Mus musculus: one gene and its partners. The protein of the gene in region 1 interacts with the protein of each later gene in a pairwise test. Links are inferred from orthologs where the notes say so. Each region holds a gene or a part of one and is shown on either strand. Other genes may lie near its edges. The genes, in order: Fosl1, Usf1 and Creb5.

Region 1 (6,311 bases):
CTTCTTTCACATACTCTTTCTCTCTTGGCAGTCTTGTATTTTGTGTTTTGATGACAGGGTCTCTCTACATAGTCCTATCTGTCCTGGAACTCCCTGCTGGCATCTTATGCATCTTTAATGGCCCCTCAGGTATTTCCTCTTTGGGAAATATTTTGGGGATCTCAGAGACTACTTCTGTATCACATCCTTTTTTTATGGTCCAAGAATAAACCAGGGCCTTCCACATGCTAGGTAAGTGCGTTGTCATTGAGCCATATGCTCAACGTGAGCTTCTGTGCCTGCCCTCTCTCTCTTCCCCAAAAGATTCTCTCTCTCTCTCTCTCTCTCTCTCTCGCTCTCTCGCTCTCGCTCTCTCTCTCTGCAAGACAGGGTTTCTCTGTGTAGCCTTGGCTTCTTCTGTCAGATTTTGACCTTTTTGATCAAGTACAGGATTATTGTTAAGCGTATTTCTACACGGACCTTTCACACAACAAAGGTTTATTAAACAAACAAATCCTTTGGATGGCCCATCCTGCAGGCAGGAAACGGTCCCTGGGAGGAAGGGAGGGAGGGTTGGGAATGGGCCAGGACCTTTGACTCTAGATTCGGAGTAGCTGCGAGGGAGTGATGCTTCATAGTTCTCGGAAAGGAAGAAGAGCCTGGTAAGCCATCTGTTTAGCTTCTGTTGCGGAGTGGGAAGGAGTCAAAGGCAGACACCTGAATATCATTTCTCAAAAAGTGCTCGAGGGATTTTGGAACATGGAGTCCTGTAACGCCTTCAAGTCCCGCTGAGATGACCATAGAAGGAAAGGAGAGAGAAGGTCTCTACTGTTTGAGGGTCGTGACACCCAGGTCCGGAGTGGGCGAGAAAAGAGAGCTACAGGCTTAGGCTCCGCCCCTTCCTGGGAGACTTTCTGGATTGGCTGTTCTTGGGCAACATCACGAGGCCCCGCCCCGGCGCGCGCCCTGCCTCGTGCCCACCCCAGGGTAGCTGCTGCAGCCTACGCTGCCTCTTCCACTGCCTACGGTCCTCGGAGCCAGAGCCCGGGTCGGAGCCTGAGAGGCAACCGGCCCGAGGAGGGGCTCCAGAGCCTCGGCCGTGGGCGGGCGATGCTGCAGCTGCCTGATCAACTATGGAGGCCGAAGCAGGCGGCCTGGAGGAGCTGACGGACGAGGAGATGGCGGCGCTGGGTAAGGAGGAGCTGGTGCGGCGCCTGCGGCGGGAGGAGGCGGCGCGCCTGGCAGCGCTAGTGCAGCGCGGCCGCCTGATGCAGGAGGTGAATCGGCAGCTGCAGGGTCACCTGGGCGAGATCCGTGAGCTCAAACAGCTCAACCGGCGCCTGCAGGCGGAGAACCGGGAGCTGCGCGACCTCTGCTGCTTTCTGGACTCGGAGCGCCAACGAGGACGGCGTGCGGCGCGCCAGTGGCAGCTCTTTGGGACCCAAGCATCCCGGGCGGTGCGCGAGGACCTGGGTGGCTGTTGGCAGAAGCTAGCGGAGCTGGAAGGCCGCCAGGAGGAGCTGCTGCGGGAAAATCTGGCCCTTAAGGAGCTTTGCTTAGCACTGGGCGAAGAGTGGGGCCCCCGCGGTGGCCCCGGCGGCGCAGTGGGCTCAGGTGCTGGGCCCACACCCGAGCTCGCCCTGCCACCGTGCGGGCCCCGCGACCTAGGCGATGGAAGTTCCAGCACTGGCAGTGTGGGCAGCCCGGATCAGTTGCCCCTAGCCTGCTCCCCTGATGACTGAGGGCGCCGCATTTTCCACGCCAATGCCTGCCTGGATTGCTCCCTGAGCTCGGGGAATGCTGTGGACCTCCAGACCTGGTCGTAGCTTCGGCTGAGCACCAGGGCGCTGGAATGGACTGGAAAAGCCCTGGCACTGAGGAGGGCTCCTTGCTCTTGCTGGCAGAGCAGCAGGGGAAATGGAGGCTGAAGTGGAGGGACTTGCTGTGTGGTTGGGTGGGGACTAATAAACTGGGAAGGAAGCAGAGCCCGAAGCCTGGCCAGCTTGTGTCTAGAACTCGCCGGGGTTGGGAAGAGGGCGTAAACCCAGAGATGCAGTGCAGTTCTCATCCGGAGGAACTGCAGAGCTAGGGCTGACTCCCTATTACCTGGGATTGGGGTGGGATTTGAGACGGTGGTAGACCACTAACTCCCCCGATGGGCGCCAAGACAGGCTGAAATCCGGCCGCTGTAGTGGCTCCAGCTCCCTTCCAGGCTCCTTCCTGTCTAAAACAATGGGACAGGAAGCAGGTGTTGGGGGCCTAAAGCCCACTGAACCGCCTGCATGGATGGTGGAAGGATATACCACCGGCCTTCCCTGCCCCCCCCCCAGTCCTTAAGACAGGAGCAGTGTGGGTTCCCATGGGGAAAATAATTGATAATCTTCTTTGCTTGCACTCCAGAGCATTCTTAGTCTCTCAGTATAGGAGACAAGGAAGAGCAGAGGGTCGCCCCATTCTTCAGGTGAGAATATGGAAGTCCAAAAACATATGGTAGTTTCTTCAAGGTCAATGCTGAGACTGGAACCTGGAACTCCTGTTCCAAATGGTCTCCTTTAGCCTCTGGATCCAACATGACAACCCAGACTAGAGCTTCAAGCCTTTTATTCCATTTTGGAAGGTTTGTATAAAAATAGTCTCTTTAGGAAAATAAATAGCAGCTGCCCTTGCGGTGGAGGCTCGGATACCCTGAAGCTAAGCGCTTCTCAGAGCTAGGGAGTGCAGCTCCGCTCCTCACAGAAGCCCCTGGCGCCTCCTGCGTTGTGCCATTCAGGAGGAGCCTGCAGGATGTCCGGTGCTGCTGGCTGTTGATGCTGTGTGAGTTAGTGTTCTAGGCTAGTCAAAGGGCACCTTCTGTCTAGGTGTAGAGTAGGCTGGATAACATGAAGAAAGTGACGTGGTGTGGGAAAGTGGTCTGCAAGGGGTAAGGGTGTCAAAGGACCCCTGGGGATCTACAAAGTCTGGGCTGCCAGGCGTTCTCTGGCAGAGGGAACATATTTTCCTCTAATTTTGTGCAAATTATGATAGGCCAGCTCTAGAAAAACAGTGAGCAGCTTTGGGGATCCCCTCCAAGCTGGCTCTACATCAAAGCATAATGTGTTTGTTCTAGTCGGAAGAGATAAAAGATCTGCTGGTTTGGGGCAAGGGTATGGTCCAGGCCTGCTGGATCAATGGGAGAAAGGGGATGGCTTGGAGTAGCACCAGCAAGGGATGTGGCTGGGTGCCTCACAAAGCCAGGAGTGTAGGAGAGCCCAGGGGGTCGGAGGAGGGGTCGCCACTGCTGCTGCTACTCTTTCGGTGAGCGGAGGAGCAAGGTTCTGGTGTGCTAGGATAGGTGAAAACCAGACTCGGAGTAAAAGGAGTCAGAGAGGGTGTGGTCATGAGCGTGGGGGTATGCAGTGCTTCCGGTTCAAGTACGGGTCCTGGAGAAAGGGAGATGCAAGGCACTGGGCGGCCGGGGGCTGGTGGGCTGCTAGCACCGCTGGTGCTGCCAGAACCACCTGGGTCCTTCTTGTCTCCTTCTGGGATTTTGCAGATGGGGCGATGGGCTTCCAGCACCAGCTCAAGGCGTTCCTTCTGCTTCTGCAGCTCTTCAATCTCTCGCTGCAGCCCCGATTTCTCATCCTCCAATTTGTCGGTCTCCTTTACAGGATTAGCAGAAAGATAGGAAAATGAAGGCTAAAGATCCCCAAGCCTCAGGCTGGAGTAGGGACTGTGCCTGTCATCCCCAACAAGTCTGGACTGCAACTCCCTCCCGTGAGCCTCTGGGAGAAAATGGCCATGACTCCCATCAGACGGGGGCATCTTAGGAGAATTGCTGCCTACCATCTTCGACTCTGCCTCGAAGCCCGACAAACAATATTTAAGCCACTTTCCCTTATCCTTTTTCCAGGACTTCCCCACAGGCAGGGAGGATGACAGAGTCCTGAGGAGTAATTTTGGGTCTTTTGTGTTCTTGGGAGCCGAGACCCCTCTTGGGGCTCTGTGGGTCCGGGCCTGGGGATGATGCTCACCGCCTGCAGGAAGTCTGTCAGCTCCTTTCTTCGGTTTCTGCACTTAGCAGCTGCTAGCTTGTTCCGCTCGCGTCTCACCCTGCGGCGCTCTTCCTCCTCTGGGCTGATCTAGGTTGGGATAGAAGAAGGGAGACAATGAGGCTGACTCTGAGCCACCAGCTGCCCTGAGCTGGTCATCCAGCTTTCCTTCAGTCTGTAGTCTAGGTGCCACCACCCAACACTCCACAGTTGCTTCTCTGTACCGGACGCTTGTCATCTCATTGGTGACATTTCCAGCTCACACACACCTAGCTTTACTGCTGGTTTCTTTCCTGAAATGCTTTCCCTCTCTGTAAACTTTGATCTTCCTCCCTTCCGCATCTTAGGACTGGACTAAGATGTTGGGACCCCAGGAAGCCTTTTCATTTCTCAGGCAGAAGTAGCCTTCTCTCCTGAGTGTATGAGACATGATTATCTCTTTTCACAGGACTCTCAGCCTCCTCATCTGTGGAAGATGGGATTTCTTCCCCCAGGAGCTGTGAATTGTAGAAGGTGCTCTTGAGTGCCAAAAGCTACTGGGAATCAATCTACTATGCCAACAAAGCCCTTTGTAGGACTTTTCTTTTGCTTAGTGCTAGGGATCAAACCCATGGCTTGGTACATGCTAGCTCGGCAAATGCTCTACCACTGAGTTACACCCCTTCACCAGCCCTTTCGTAGATTCCTTTTTCTGCTTTTTGTAGTTTTGTTTCTTTGTATTTTAGACAGAATCTCTGAGTAGCCCTGCCTGGCCTTGAACTTGATTTATAGACCAGGCTGGCCTGGAACTCACAGACCTCATCTGGCTTGTTTTGTCTTTTTTTTTTTTTTTTAAGATTTATTTATTTTTATTATATGTAAGTACACTGTAGTTGTTTTCAGACACTCCAGAAGAGGGACTCAGATTTCGTTACAGATGGTTGTGAGCCACCATGTGGTTGCTGGGATTTGAACTTCGGACCTGCAGAAGAGCAGTTGGGTGCTCTTACCCACTGAGCCATCTAACCAACCCCCTTGTTTTGTCTTTTTAAAAGAGACAAAGTCTCATGTGTCCCAGGCTGGCCTTTAGCTCAGTGTATAGGCAAGACCGGCCTGAAACCCCTGATTCTTTGGCTTCCACCTCTAGAGTAATAGGATTGCAGACTGTATCAGCATCCCTTCCAGCTTCCCTACATAGATTCTTTATGTTGCTGTTGTTTTTAAAGACAGGGTTCATCTTCATAGTTCTAGCTGTCATGGAATTCACTCTGTAGGCTGGCCTCAAACTTCACCTGCCTCTGCCTCCCAAGTACTGTGATTAAAGGCATGTGCCACACTATGCCTGGCTAGAGTCATATATTCATATATATAGTCGTGTGTGTGTGTGTGTGTGTGTGTGTGTGTGTGTGTGTGTGTGTGTGTGTGTCATAGCACCCTTGGAGGTTGGTTCTCTCCTTCTACTGTGTGGATTTCAAGGATTGAACTCAGGTCATTAATTTCGCAGCAAGTACCTTTACCCACGGAGCCATTTCACCAGCACCCCCTACATAGATTGGTTTTTTAGAGGGTTTCTCTGTGTAGCCCTGGCTGTCCTGGAACTTGGTTTGTAGATCAGACCAGGCTGGCCTTAAACAGAGATCTGCTGTCTGAACCAACACCACCTGGCTTTTAAATTTTTATTTATTTATTTAACATATGTGAGTAGACCCTTGCTGTCTTCAGATACACCAGAAGAGGGCATTGGATCCCATTACAGATGGTTGTGAGCTACCATGTGGTTGTTGGGAATTGAACTCAGGACCTCTGGAAAAGCATTCAGTGCTCTTAACGGCTGAGCCATCTCTCCAGGCCCCCCCCCTTTTTTTTTTAAAGATTAAAAAAGGGGCTGGTGAGATGGCTCAGCGGGTAAGAGCATTGACTACTCTTCCAAAGGTCCTGAGTTCAAATCCCAGCAACCACATGGTGGCTCACAATCATCCATAACAAGATCTGACGCCCTCTTCTGGAGTGTCTGAAGACAGCTACAATGTACTTATGTATAATAAATAAATCAATCTTAAAAAAAGATTTAAAATATGTAGACTGGGGCTAGAGAGATGTTTTAGCAGTTAAGAGCTCCTCTTTCAGAGGTCCTGAGTTCAAATCCCAGCCACACACGGTGGCTCACAACCACCTATAATAGGATCTGATGCCCTCTCCTGGCATGAAGGTATACATGGAAGCACTCATTCATAAATAAAATTTACAAAAAAAAAAAAGGCTTATAGTGATGGCATACATCTTTGGTCCCAACACTTGGGAGGCAGGCAGATGCCTCTGTGAGTT
Region 2 (6,979 bases), on another chromosome or scaffold:
AGTCAAGAGAAGACCAAGGACACAGTGAAGACAGTGGAAGTCCAGAAGAGGGTGATGATAGGAAGGAAGGGGTTTTCAGCAAGGAACAAAAAAGTATAGACGTAGAAACTGAAGTCATGAGAGGTGTTGGTGACCACTTAGAAGAGGGGGCCCTCTCTGAAGGGCCAGGTGTCGAGTTACTGAGGGTTGACAGTACAGAAGAAATCAATGAACAGACCTCTGAGATGAAACAAGCCCCGCTACAGCCATCTGAACCAGAGGGCATGGAGGCTGAGGGACAGCTTAATCCTGAGACATGTGACCTGTATTCTTGTCCCTGTGGGTCAGCTGGTGGTGTGGGCATGCGTCTGGCTTCCACCCTAGTTCAGGTCCGACAGGTCCGCTCTGTCCCTGTAGTGCCCCCCAAACCACAGTTTGCCAAGATGCCCAGTGCAATGTGTAGCAAGATCCATGTAGCACCTGCAAGCCCATGTCCAAGGCCTGGTAGGCTTGATGGGACTCCTGGAGAAAAAGCTTGGGGTTCTCGAGCTTCCTGGAGGAATGGGGGCAGTCTTTCTTTTGATGCTGCTGTGGCCCTGGCCCGGGAACGCCAGAGGACCGAGTCTCAGGGAGTTCTGCGGACCCAGACCTGTACTGGAGGTGGGGATTATAGTCTCAGCTCCAGAACCCCTCCTTGTAGCATGATCCTTGCCCATTCTTCCCGGCCCCTTAGCTGTTTGGAACGCCCACCTGAAGGCACAGAGGGGTCTGAGCCCAGGAGTCGGCTTAGTCTGCCCCCTAGAGAGCTTCACCCTGTTGTCCCTCTTGTGGCCCCTCAGCGCCAGACATATGCTTTTGAAACACAGACTAATCATGGGAAAGATGAAGGGGTATGATTAGGACAGGACAAGAGGAACCAAGAAATCATCACCAATCTCTGGAGCACTTGCCTAGCTGTCTTTGCTGCCTCGGCAGCTGAGATGTCTAATTCCATAGGCTTGGGTCCTCCAGCTTCTTGTTTTGACCATGAGAGGTACAGACTTGGTGGATTTACTTATGTTTGTGTTAGACACAAAGCCACTTATGTCTTAGCAGAGTCTTAAGAAACATAGAACAATCTTGTTTCCAGGGAGTTAACAAAAACATAGGGTAGGTAAAAGCTTTTTTTTTTCTTAAATTTAAATACAGTGGGGGAATTTCAGCCAAACTTTTGCCCTATTCTGAGCTGTGAATATCTCTTCACAGAAGCCTACTGTAGATGTGGGAGATATAGGACCAGATATAGAATAGCTCACCCCTGATTTGTTCCTAGATTTTTGGCTGTCTTCTGACCCTCTTTAGTTTCAGAGTAGGAGAAACATCCAAGAAGCTCTTTAAAGTCCTCAGTGTTTGCTGAAGGAAATGGGTGGCATCCTCTACCTTCAATTATTTTGCAGAAGAGGTCCTCCCATTTTAGGAAAAGGGAATGTTGGGCTGAAGAGATAGCTCAGAGGTTAAGAGCACCTACTGTTCTTCCAGAGGTCCTGAGTTCAATTCCTAGCAATCACATGATGGCTCACAACCATCTGTAACGGAATTTGATGCCTTCTACGGGTGAGTCTGAAGAGAGCAATGGTGTACTCATTCATATACATAAAATAAATAAAGAAAGAAAAGAAAAAGGAAAAGAAAAGTAGAGGGAATGTCACTCAATTTGGCTCTAGCACTGTCTCTGCACAGGCTGGGGCTACAGGCCACCATTTAGCAATGGTGGGTATTTGATAATAAAAGCTGAATTTTTTTTTTAACATTTAAACAGTGTATGTACTTTGTCTTATTAAAGTTTTGGGTGAATGGTATCACATTCCAAAGTTGCCAAAATGTATATATCTTGTTTTTTCTTATTTAGATATTCTTCCTCAGTTGTCATGGGAAACTGTAGCTAGAAAGTAGAACTGGGTTCATGGTGGTCAAGAAATGAGGAAGAGAAACCTGTATTTACATAATGTTCATCTAATGCCAGGAATTGGGCCAGATTTGTGTGCATAAAAACTTTGCTCTTGAATTTATTTAATCCACTTGATGTGAAGTTGGTATTGGTATTTCCGTTTTACAAAGAAATTGAGCTGTAGTTAAGTAAAAATGCCCATCAAAAACCTCAGAGTTAAGAAGTGTTAGTTTCTAGGTGTGGTGGCTGTCTTTAATCCTAGCACTTGGGAGTGGAGAGATCTATGTGTATTCGAGTCCAGCATAGTTTATGTAGGACTACATAGAAATACCCTATCGCAAAAAAAAAAAAAAAAAAAAAAAAGTGTCAGTTCAGAGTCTGAATGGCTTCAGAATCTGAATTCTAGCTATTGCTATTATACTTCACTATTCCAAAATCACTCTGGGTACACCCAGAATGAAGAAAATGGTAATCAAACTCGTCCCCACACGTATTTAAGAGCCTGAGGAAAAGCTATGAGGTCTTTGGAGTATTGCTGACGTTAATACAAAGGTATATACCCAGATCCACGTACACTCAGAAATGTCCCAAAGTCCACTTGGAACCCCCTCAAAGTGATGCCCTGATCCAAGATGGCGTCCCACATTGCCCTTATGAAAGATGGCGCCTAAGATTGCCGTTCCACCCTCTACTTCCTTTTACTGGAAGTAAAAGGGCTCCGCCTACCACAAGGATGGAAGTACAATTTAGTCGGGTTTTTTTTTTCCTGGTTCTTACTGAAAACAAAGGCCTCTAGCGAGGTCCCCAAGGATACCGTCTGTTTCCCTTCAGAGCCTGCGACCACTCACGTACCCACATCCGCTCTAGCGGGCATCAGATTTGAAGCGAGCGGAAGTGTGGCAGCTCGGGGGGCCGTCCGTCGGCTGGGCGGGTCGAGGGCACACTTCCGCCCCTCACCAACATGGCCGCAGGCTGGGACTGCGCATGAGCAGCTGTCTATGGAGAGACCTAGATCCAAAGACGGAGAAGGCTGCCGGGGGAAATCGGCGACTGAAGCGGCCTGGCCCGGTGAGTGCGTCGGAGCCGGCCGGAGTCCGGACGCCGGTGGATCGGCATGGCGGGGCACCTTTGCTTTGGCTGGCGTTTCCCAGGCCAGGCCACGCCTGGGCACGGAGCCTTTGTTTTGGGGGAGGGGGCCGTGCCCGGCTCTTTCTCTCCTGCTTTGTGGGCCGAGCTCGCTCCCCGCCCCGGTGTGCACACGTCCCAGCCGCCTGCGGTGGGTATCCAGCTTCGAGCCGCAGGCCCGGGAAGGTCCCCGGCGTCCTTTCCCCGTCTCTCCTCCGCGGAGCAGCTGGGGCGCAGGCGAGCTGGGCTGGGACCGGCGGGGTCACCGCGCGGGCTGCGGGGCTCGCGCCTGCCGGGTACTCAGGTCCCCAAGCGCCTACTACTAGTCGGTGGGCCTGCAGGGAGACGCGTCGTTCTCGGGCAAGGTCCGGGCGCTTGAAGTCTTTGGGAACTTGATCTGGTTTTTGTGTGTGGGTGGTGGTGGGGGGTGTTTTGTTTTTTAAATTTCTGCCTTTGCGTCTGTGCTTGGTGAGGACGTTTGCTGGGCTCTCCTTTTGAGCATGCAAAACCACAAAATCCTAGGCTGATTTCCGTATCACGTATTATTAATGCTCAGGATGCTTCCGGATATACAACCAAGGTTTGAGTAAGGAGCCTACCGCCGTTTCTGGGTAGCCTCAGAAGTTGCGCTGACAGCTGTTGGCTATACGGTTGTCTCGTGCGCCTTGCAGTCTCTTTCATAGCCTCCTCCTGCAGGCCGTGCCAGGAGCTTCAGGAGGAGCTCTTCCTCCTGTTTGAGGATGGAGACCCCCTAGGTGGTCCGTACATCCGGACGCTGCCTCCCTTTGCAGCCTTACTTTCTACGGACAGTTTCACTTTCAGTTCCCTTTTGTTATTGTTGTTAACGTTCTTCTTTGCACACGGTCTTTCCGAGGCGCATTATCCGCTAAACTAAGGTTTTTCTTTGATTAGAAAGGTTTGGAAGATCTTGCGGGTAGAGTGTTTAAAAAAAATCTTGTCCTTTCTTGTTGAGATTATTTTATTGCTTTGTCCTATGCAGCTGTTTCTTTCTGGTGGCATCTGTCTGTACAGTTCTTTGTTTTTTCCCGTTCTCTGGCTGGTTGTCAAAAGTCCTAAGGCAGGAACATTGTAGATGGATTCCTCCCCCTTTGTCTTTTCTCCTGCAGAACCCTGAGCCTGGAGGTTTTCTTTCCCCCCCTCCTCCTGAGGCTTAGTTGATTTGGAGTTGTCATGGCAACATTTTAGCAACTATGTTGCTCTACAGGAAGCCTTGCTGGATAAAATAAAGAAGCCTTGAACATGATGCACTTGGGCACTGGTGTTTGTAACAGATGCTGTAAATCTGGACTCTCTCAAAACAAGAGCCCCGACAGCGGAGTAGTATCCAAGAGCCAAACCTGGGTTTTATGCTTAGTGATGGTTTCCCAATAGCAAAAAAGGTTTCAGTTTTCCTCTTCTTAGATTTGAGGACTGGAATTTGTTTTTTGTTATTCTTATTTGATTTTGAAACAGGACCTCTCTATACATAACCTTGGCTGTCCTGGAACTCACTCTGTAGACCAAGCTGGCATTGAACTCAGAGATCTGCCTGCCTCTGCCTTCTTAGTGCTGGGATCAAAGGCTGGCATCACCACCTCCCAGCTTCAGATTTCTTTTCGTACAGTTTGTGTTGGAGAAGCTGGAAGAAGAATCAGGGAGTGTGTGAGGGAGTGTGTGGGTGGGGGGGTTATTAGTTACTGGTTTTGATAGTGGTGGTCTAAACTTTGCTCTAGCTTTTCCTGTGAAGCTGCTGACATAGAGTATAATAGCTTTAGTAACAATCCACAATAGCCTCAGCCATGCACCCCAGACATTGTTTCACAGTCTACTCCTCCCCCCAGGAGTTGGAATGAAAATGGAGGAGCAGCTGGGTGGTGGCGACCCATGCCTTTAATCCTAGCACTAGATAGGCAGAAGCAGGCAGGATCTCTGAGAGTTCAGAGGCCAGCCTGGCCTACAGAGTGAGTTCCAGGACGGCCAGGGCTACAAGAGAAACCCTGTCTCAGAAAGAGAGAAGCGGGGTTGGGGGGGAAGGAAGGAAGAGAGAAAAGTTTTGGTGTGTGTGTGTGCACATGCATGTGTGTGGTGGGCTGGACGCTGTGATAAACAGCTTTCACAAGTTAGTTTTTGCCTCTTTGAGGGGAGGAGGTTGTTTTTTTTGTTTTGTTTTTTGAGATATGGATTCTCTAGGTTGCCCTGGTCATCCTGGAACTCTGTAGCCATGGCTGGCCTTGAACTCAGAGATCCACGTGCCTGGCTCCCAAGTGCTTGAATCAGGCATTGCCACCACGCCCTGCCTGCTGAGCCCTCCTAGCTTTTCTTTTGGTCAGAGGAGAGCCGTAGGGGGTCAGTTGTTGTCTTTCCACGTTGCTGGAGACAGTGGCTGGCGCCCCGCTTGTAGAGATTCTCTCATCTCCAGCTCTCCATCAGGCGCCCTGTGATTACACATGCTCTCAATGCTGCATTCCTCTCTTCTATAGGTTTTAGGACTCGGGTGTTACCTTCATTCCGAGTGAGACTTCCATTGCGAGTGCTGTTTGAGCCAATCTCCCAGTTTTGTTTTATTTTATTTTGAGACAAGTTCTTGTAGCCCAGCCTAGCGTGACACTAGCTTTGCACCCCAGGATGGCCTTGAACTCCTAAGTATTGGTATTACGGGCATGAGCAAGCACACTTGGTCCTTTTTCTCCTCAAACTCGCACCGTTCCTGTCTCCTTCCCCTGAGTGTTAGGCTCCCAGGAGTGAGCCTCCATGTCCCGTGAAGAGTTGCTTCTTCAGTCACTGCAGACTAGCCCTTGCCATCAGAATTGGGGGAGTTGACTGTCCTTTGCGGATGCTTGGTTTATCTTCCTGGCTGTGTCTTCTTGGAACCTAGGTTCTAGAACCTGGAAAGCTGTTCAGTTGCCTGGCCTCACTGCAAACTCTGTGGTTTCCACCAGGACTTAGCATTCAGGCCTTTGAGTTGGGAGATACAAAGTCCTCCGAAAAAAGACCGGCGCCTCGGATGAGCCCCCTCACAGAGAGATGAAGGGGTAAGTGAAGAGGGATGTCTGGGCAGAGGAGGGATGGCCTGGAGAATGCAGAATTAATGCAGAATGACTAAGAACATTGGATTCGGGAGATCTGGGTTCAGGTACCCAGCTCCAACACTTACCAGCTCTGTGATTTAGTTTCTCTATCTATAAAACTGTGGTGCTAGTCACTGTTATTAGCATCAAGATGGTGTGCTGGGGTGGGGGGTGGGGTGGATGCCTTTAATCTCAGCACTCAGGAGGCAGAGGCAGTCTTATCTCTGAATCCAAGGTTAGCCTGCTCCACACAACAAGTTCCAGGACTGCCAGAGCTACCCAGAAAAAAACTCTTTCTTTCTTCTTCTTTTTTTTTTAAGATGTAGAAATGGTCCTTTTTTTGTTTTGTTTGTTTGCTTGTTTATTATATGTAAGTACACTGTAGCTGTCTTCAGACACTTCAGAAGAGGGCATCAGATTTCGTTACAGATAGTTGTGAGCCACCATATGTTTGATGGCATTTGAACTCGGGACCTTTGGAAGAGCAGTCAGCGCTCTTAACCACTGAGCCATCTCGCCAGCCCTAACACTTTCTTGAAAAACAAAATAAAACCAACCAACCAACAAACAAAAAAAGTGCTTATAGCTTGGTGTCTATGTACATGGTAGATACTTAGTTATTACTTTTTAAATTTATTTTGTTTTATTTTTTTGAGACAAAATAATATTTACATAGTCCTGGGTATATCGTAGTCCTGGCTGCCCTGGAGCTCACTCTGTAGACCAGGCTGGCTTCAAACTCACAGAGATCCACCTGCCTGTCTCCTGAGTGCCAGGTTTAAAGGAATGTGCCACCATGAGCCAGCAGTAATACTGTCATGGTCTAACCTAGCCTAACATCTGTTGTGGATGCCAGTGAGTTTGGGAACCATGTTACGAG
Region 3 (6,940 bases), on another chromosome or scaffold:
ATTGACATGTGGGTAAAGAGATGACGAGGGTCACCAGCACCCAGTAGATCATAGCTAACTCCATATCTAGCTTTGAGATTCGAACACTCATCCGGGGCTGGGACTTTGAGTCTGCCTATCCCAGCATCGTAGATTGAGAAAGGTGTTTCTAAGAAGCATTCATGTGCCATGTCTTTCTCTCAGTGAGTGGGGATGTGCACTAAGTTTCCAGCCCTCAGCATGTTAGGCAGGGAGGTACTGGAGAAGTGCCCAGGAGGCTGGCAGGGACTTCAGAAGCAGATCCTGTGATAATGGAGCCACACAGGAGTAAGAGAGGCAGTGTTTCTTGAACTTTCTTTCCCTCCTTGGACGGGGGAACTCTGAAGGCTGTTACCACTGACTCCTGAAAGTCTGTATGGCTGACACTGGTAACTGGATGGGAGAAGACGATGAAAAGGAATTAGAGAGATGCTCTCCTCGAATCGCTGGTGTATGGCAGTCAGTGCAAGGGTTGTTTCAGGCAGGCTCTGAGATCTGGTAAAGGATGGACCTTTCTGTGGAATCTTGACTAGGGATAAACCAGAAATTAGATTTCCCCAGAAGTTTTTCTCGACTGACAGCGAGCTGGCACCCTCACCGACTCTATCCATACTGCAAACAAACACACCTAAAGGGCCTGCCCATAACAAGAAGGCAGTTTATCCTAATTATATGTTGAGAAAGGTTTGCTGTGTGTGGTGGCTTGCCTACTTAGCATAAAAAACAGACATAATTGAGCTATAAATAATGCACATCAGTCAAGCTGTCGAGTCTCTGAATTAAGAAAACCCAGGCAAGTTCTTAACTGCAAAGGCTGTCCCTGGAACGGCTAAGCACTTCAGTTGAGTGGTGGGAGAGACATAAACTGAAAATCATCATTTTAGTGGCGGGTCACTCCCTGGATGTTATATTACTAGTGGATTAAAAAATTCATTTCTTCAAGTGCTATACATGCAGGCAGGAGGGAAAGGTCCTGTTTACCCAAAGCAAGTGTCAGATAGAAGCCACAAGCTCTGCCACTCTAGCTTGCCCCTTCTATTTTGAAGGGAGCAGAGCACTGACCTGATCTAAGGAAGGAATTTTGCAGAAAATGACCTTTGATTTCAATCCAGAGCTATGAATGTTAAATTCTTTCAAATCTAAGACTTACACGTTTCTTAGCAAGCCAGTTAGGTTAAACCATTTTGTTACTGCTGGAATTAAAAAAAAAATAACAATATTAACTCAGTATTTAAAATACTTGAAAATGATGCATTTTCCTAAAATACAATAGAAATTTCTGTTTGCTCCATCTTCTTTCTTCCCTTTTCATTTTTCTTTTCCCTCTTTTTATTTTATTTTTTCATTTCTTTTTGATTCTTAGGCCATATACTCTTATGCTTTACTGAACAGCCAAACATGTCTCTCAAAAAGCACAGCATACATGAAAATTATTGATAAATATTGATTTTTTAAAAGTAAGTTATTAGATAAAACTGAAACTAGTTATAAAAGTCATGCTCAGAGCCCTCATATTTTCTTTTTTTTTCCTCTAAAATAGAATTTTTTTTAAACTATAGTGAGCGAAGAAGTACATCCTTCCTTTACAGAACTCTTATAAAAGTGATGGCTTTTGTAAAATACTGTTCTTTTAAAACCTATACTGTTCATAAACACACACACACACACACACACACACACACACACACACACTCACACACTCAGGCACACACATCCATGTGCACACACACACACATAGGTTAGGAGGTGAATTATTTGGGCAGAGATGAAACACCAGCATATGCCCAGACTGCTAGTGAGAAACATTAGCCCCTATTATTTGTGAAACACGATAGTAAAACACCAGCAGAGTAGAATGGCTTGTTTCAAGGAGGCACAACTGTGGTTTGGGTTTGATCTGCTTTCCGTAATGGGCAAGTCCGTGGACATTGCTGAAAATATAAATCAGAACTACTCAGATGAGCGCACCAGCCTGGCCACCTCCATGGGACTCGGTCAGCAGCCAAGGAGTCTGACTGTTCTGGCAGACTGCGAGTCCCCGAGAAACGCTGGCCTCGCTTTCTCTCTGTTGCTCCAAGAGTGAGTTTGCTTTTGCCCACCAGAACAGCAGAGCTGGTTCCATAGGCTTAAGAAAAATAATAATAATAAATCTTAGGTTATTAGCAGCTGATGATTGAACAATGTAATCTGTGTAGTGAACAGAGCCCTTCTGAACTATTATATAGTGCATGGATTTTTTACATTATAGACAGGCCATAGAAGCGAGCTGTAATTCGAGGGTGTGATGTTAGAGCCCACATCCTTATTTGAATTTTCACAGTTGGAGCTTACGAAGTCCCTTTCCCTAGTGTCCCCACAGCTGGCATTCAACAGTGCTTCACCTATAACCAAACCACCTTTTATTTGCTCTGGTTATTAAAAACATTAAATCAGGCACATTAAACATCTCCTGGTTGCTATTTTGTGAAAGGCAAAAATTGAATGAACTCCAGCTGTGGGTTAAACTGTGGCTAGGTCCACAGTTTCCAGATTTGCTTTTTCTCTTCTTTAAACATTATTTTCTTTTTTACATGCAAAGCTAAAGGGGAGAAAAGGAAACAGAAAAAAAGTCAAAACAAAGAGTAAACAAGGGATCCGGGGAAAGGAAAATGAGATGGATATTGGACATCTGCGCAAGTAGAAAAGAGAGGAAGGAGGGGGCCTGAGATGCTTGGTGGCTTTCATGGGATATGGATGGACCATAATTTATTTTTTTCTAGCAAGAGAAAAAAATATTCAGGAAGGCCCATGTGTTTATCTGAGATTCTGGTGACATCACAGCACAAACTCAACATGAGTTATGACATCATGAGCTTTCCCACCCAGTTACTGTGTGGATCCATCTCGCTTGACATCTAAGCATACCTCATTTTGGCTAAAAGCTGTAGTTGAACAAGATTCATTGTTCCAGGCAAAGGGTTGGGCTGGTAAGAATGAAACCATGGCTATATACAGGAAAGGTTCCGTTTATAAACAAGAAACTGGTACCAGAAAATTGCAGAGAAGCACCAACGTGCTCCCCAAGCTGATAGATATTCATTGCATATCTCCCTTTTTTCTTATATAACTAAGTATAAAAGACAACATTTCCATAATAACTATAAAAATGAAAGCCAGTCTTTGAAGGGCTGAGGCGTCTTCCAGGTCTGAGATAATTCTAAAAAAAATGCCCCTTTGAGAAAGGATGTACGGCATGCTACAGCTCTTCTCAAAGGCCAGGTTTGACCGATGCCTTTTAAAGAATAGGATTCAGGTCTGTTCTGTGAGTTGTAAGCTGACTGAGGGTGGAGCTCCCCACGACCTCGCTGACCGATGAGGATGTAGTGATGGTGTTGTGTTGGATAACTTGCTGCTGAGAGCATGCTGGCACAGGGCTCGCAGGAGGGCTGCTCTCTGGACCTAGGAGGAAAAACAGACACACACACACAAATATAGCTCTTTCTTGGGGGAGTAGAAATGCTATTAGACATTAAACTGCGTGTGGAGGAGCTTCATACATTTCCTTCTGGAAGAGAAGGCCAAAGCTTCATTTTAAACTGAGGTTGCCAAGCTAAGCCTCCCAGGCTCATAGCTATGGGAAAAGCCACTTTCCCCATCAGTAAGATGACCCCCGTAAAATGTGTTTGATCAAGCCTTGGGGGTATGAATTCCCCCGTCTTATATTTTCAGGTAGCCGTTCGTATTATTAAATGTGGAAAAATACTCACATGTGGTGGGAGAATCTGTGTTGCTCAATCTAAAAAATTATTTGAAAACAAATTGACCTTCAGCCACGATTCATTGTTCCTCCTGCCTTCCCTGATTCACCTAGCATTTAGTCTACTGCCATTGTAAGTACAGAAAGTGGAGCCAGGGAGGAAGAGACCCCCACACTGTTTGCTGAAAAACAGGGGGAGCCCAGGAACTTTGCAGCCTGGTGGGCAACATGCAGCATCTCCTGAGAAACTAGAGGCAAGTGATACACCCAGAGATGTCTCTCAGCTCCCAGGAGGATTCTCTCAGGAGGATGAACAGGCCTCTAGTAACTGGACCCCCACAGACTCATTTCTGGCTACAAAGCAGGAATTTGGTAATGTGCTGCCAGGGAGAGTAAGGCCAGACCTTATTGGGGGTGGGGATGGGGGAGGGGTCCTGGGCATGGTTTTGGGAAGAGGTCAGGAAAGATGGCTTCCCCTGGCAGAAGCATCTATAACCTCTTAGTCATTCCCAAGTATCTGTCTGGGTGTGCAGCCTGTGCTGTATTTTTCCCTTATAATAAAAATTCAGGGCAAAATGAGAGACAAGTTTTCTTCTAAGGAATAAAAACGTGACTTACTTAAATACCCTTGGGATTCTTTCTGCATGGCTGTTATCGGACAGTCTTTATGTGTTAACAACAACTGCTTCAGCTGGGCCACCTCGTTTTTCAACATGGACACTTCATTCTGGGAAGACATAGTAACATTGTGTTGAGAAGACCAAAGAATTAGCAAACACAAAAGTCCCACCATCTGCTTTCAACAACAGAGTTATCAAGCTTTACTGACTGTGTTCAAATGACATTCAGAAAGTTACTTTGAGGGACTGATCCGAATTCTGTAGTTTCCCTTCCATTTGGCCCTCTTATTGTATGGGTCTTTTGAAGAGACCAAAGTTTAACTCAAGAACTGAACCCCTACATAAAAAGCAGACCATAGCCTTTAAGTGACGGGCTCTGGAACCAGATAATATAGCCGAGATGCCCATGCTTCTCTGACCATGTGACCTGAGATAGCTGTGACCATGTATTATCTAACATGATTTGGTTAACCTCCACCAACCTCATTTATAGCATTTAGAAGATGGAGTTAGAAATGGTACAATGTACAATGAACTTGGTGACACCCATGGTACAAACGTACATAAGTAGACATCGTCTAGAGAAGAAAACTCCTAGAAGTCTAGAAGTTAACTTTAAAAAATGAAGCTGTTTCTTTAATGAATATCTCCCACTTGCAAATGCATTTGAAACACTGGATAAACTGTACCCCGAATAGCATTGCTAATAAAGTAACAAATGTCTCATCTGCAAAAGCTTTCCCCATTATCCTTCAAACCACAAAATAATGATAATAGTGAGAAATTCTCTTAAAGATGAATAAATCACTTAATGGTACAGGAAAATTGCTCTTAAATCTGCGAGCATTCATGAAGGCAAACAGTACCTCCCACTTCCCAGCTAGGATGATTGATAGGTAGCCAGCCATGGTTCGAAGTGACTTTTGGCAAGTAAGGACAACTTTATTTTACAGGGAAATTCACATCCGCCTCCAACCAACTCCTCTTTGAACTTTAACTGAATTATGTTGTTTAAATAACATTCTTTGTTTCCCCACACCAAGTTCTCCTATTTTTAAAATAGTATGTATAAGAGAAATTCACCTTTAGAACATTATATATCTTTATGTATATGTTTAAAAATAAAATAAAACTGCTCAAGCTGAAACAGAGAATTGTTGTGTGTGTGTATGTTTGTGCATGCACACAGCAAGGTGAAATGTCTGGACTTGCATACGTTAGCACTGACACCTTTCTGAACACACCATTCCGGATACCCTAACAAAACTGGCAGTTACAGATGATGTAGACAATGCAACTTAGAAACCATTACGGAGAACCTACACTTTCTCTAGTGTGGCCCAGAAAACAATCAGCAAAGTATAAAAGCCAAACTTGGGGGTTGGTGAGATGGCTCAGTGGGTAAAAGTGCTTGCTCCCGAGGCTGAAGCCTAGAGCTCAATCCCTAGAGTCCACATGGTGGAAGGAGAGATCAACTTATACATGTTATCCTTGGATTTCGACGTGTGTGACATAGCACATGTAAATCCCCCCATAACAAACCAACCAACCAACCAACCAACCAACCAATCAACAAACAAACAAGCAAAGTATTGTAGTTTTAAAATTAACAAACAAAACCAAACTGGATTATTTTGCTTTCTTTTAACACATTTTGAATTGAAAACCAATCTTTTTTGAGATCTAGTGGTTGTTTGGAGATGGGTTTGATTTCTCCCCTACTGTGTCCTGGGCAGAGGTGGTGTCTTGGTAGCACTTGCACTCCTGCCAGGGTGTGTTGATGGGCTATCCTTTGAAACACTGGTAATGCTACTCATTAGCTGTCCAACATTAGTGGGAGCACATCCAAACTCTTTCACAATACACTTTTCGCTTCCAAAAGGAATTTTACTATAAAACAGCATAAACTTTCATGCCTATCAATAAAGCACTATCAAAGTATATGAGAACATTATTTTGTCCACAAATAGCAAAATACTTTGCTGATAAACCAATAAGCTGCAAGTAGAGAAACGAAGTAAGGTCTTGAGTGGTGTAAAGTTTTGTTAAGGATGTAAGAATCAGGACTGGAGAGATGGCTTGGGAGTTAACAGCACTTTCTGTTCTTGCAGAGGACCTGATTTGGGCTCCCAACACCCACATAGCTCACAACCATCTATAACTTTAGTTCTGTAACAATGTCCTCTGCTAGTCTTCGTGGGAACTAGGTATGTACATAGTGCATATACATGCCTGTAGGGAAAACATTCATATATATGAAATATATATGAAATATACATATATATACATATATATGAAATATATATGAAATATATATATATATATATATATATATATATATATATATATACACACACACACACACACGATCTAAAAATATGCAGTGCTTTGAAAACAGACCATCTGCACATACTTCTGACATTAGTAATAAATTGTGTTATCAGGTCATGTCATGGTTCAGAAGTGAATACCAGTTAATAACATTAACAGAGAGGAGCAAGCAGTCCCTGAGTTCAATACACATTACTCTGATGCAGCAGGGAAGAAGGAACAACCTAATCGCCTT

What was found.
Region 2: the proteins of Fosl1 (region 1) and Usf1 interact in binary tests that used the Homo sapiens proteins (3 or more experiments, as listed by UniProt). The link is inferred for Mus musculus from reciprocal best matches to the Homo sapiens genes FOSL1 and USF1.
Region 3: the proteins of Fosl1 (region 1) and Creb5 interact in binary tests that used the Homo sapiens proteins (3 or more experiments, as listed by UniProt). The two-hybrid records come from large-scale screens. The link is inferred for Mus musculus from reciprocal best matches to the Homo sapiens genes FOSL1 and CREB5.

The regions. Positions count from the first base shown.
Region 1 is NC_000085.6:5,452,199-5,458,509, reverse strand, and holds the end of Fosl1 (fos-related antigen 1), read right to left. Parts: intron 5,348-6,311; exon of another isoform or gene 4,098-5,347; coding exon 3,990-4,097; exon of another isoform or gene 3,619-3,989; coding exon 3,202-3,618; 3' UTR 2,572-3,201; downstream 1-2,571. Other genes in the region: Ccdc85b (coiled-coil domain-containing protein 85B), read left to right, coding at 1,113-1,721.
Region 2 is NC_000067.6:171,408,467-171,415,445, forward strand, and holds the start of Usf1 (upstream stimulatory factor 1), read left to right. Parts: upstream 1-2,846; 5' UTR 2,847-2,974; intron 2,975-2,976; exon of another isoform or gene 2,977-3,396; intron 3,397-5,906; exon of another isoform or gene 5,907-5,970; 5' UTR 5,971-6,055; coding exon 6,056-6,063; intron 6,064-6,979. Other genes in the region: Arhgap30 (rho GTPase-activating protein 30), read left to right, coding at 1-875.
Region 3 is NC_000072.6:53,690,440-53,697,379, reverse strand, and holds part of Creb5 (cyclic AMP-responsive element-binding protein 5), read right to left. Parts: intron 4,482-6,940; coding exon 4,373-4,481; intron 3,457-4,372; coding exon 3,293-3,456; 3' UTR 1-3,292. UniProt on the Homo sapiens protein: Binds to the cAMP response element and activates transcription.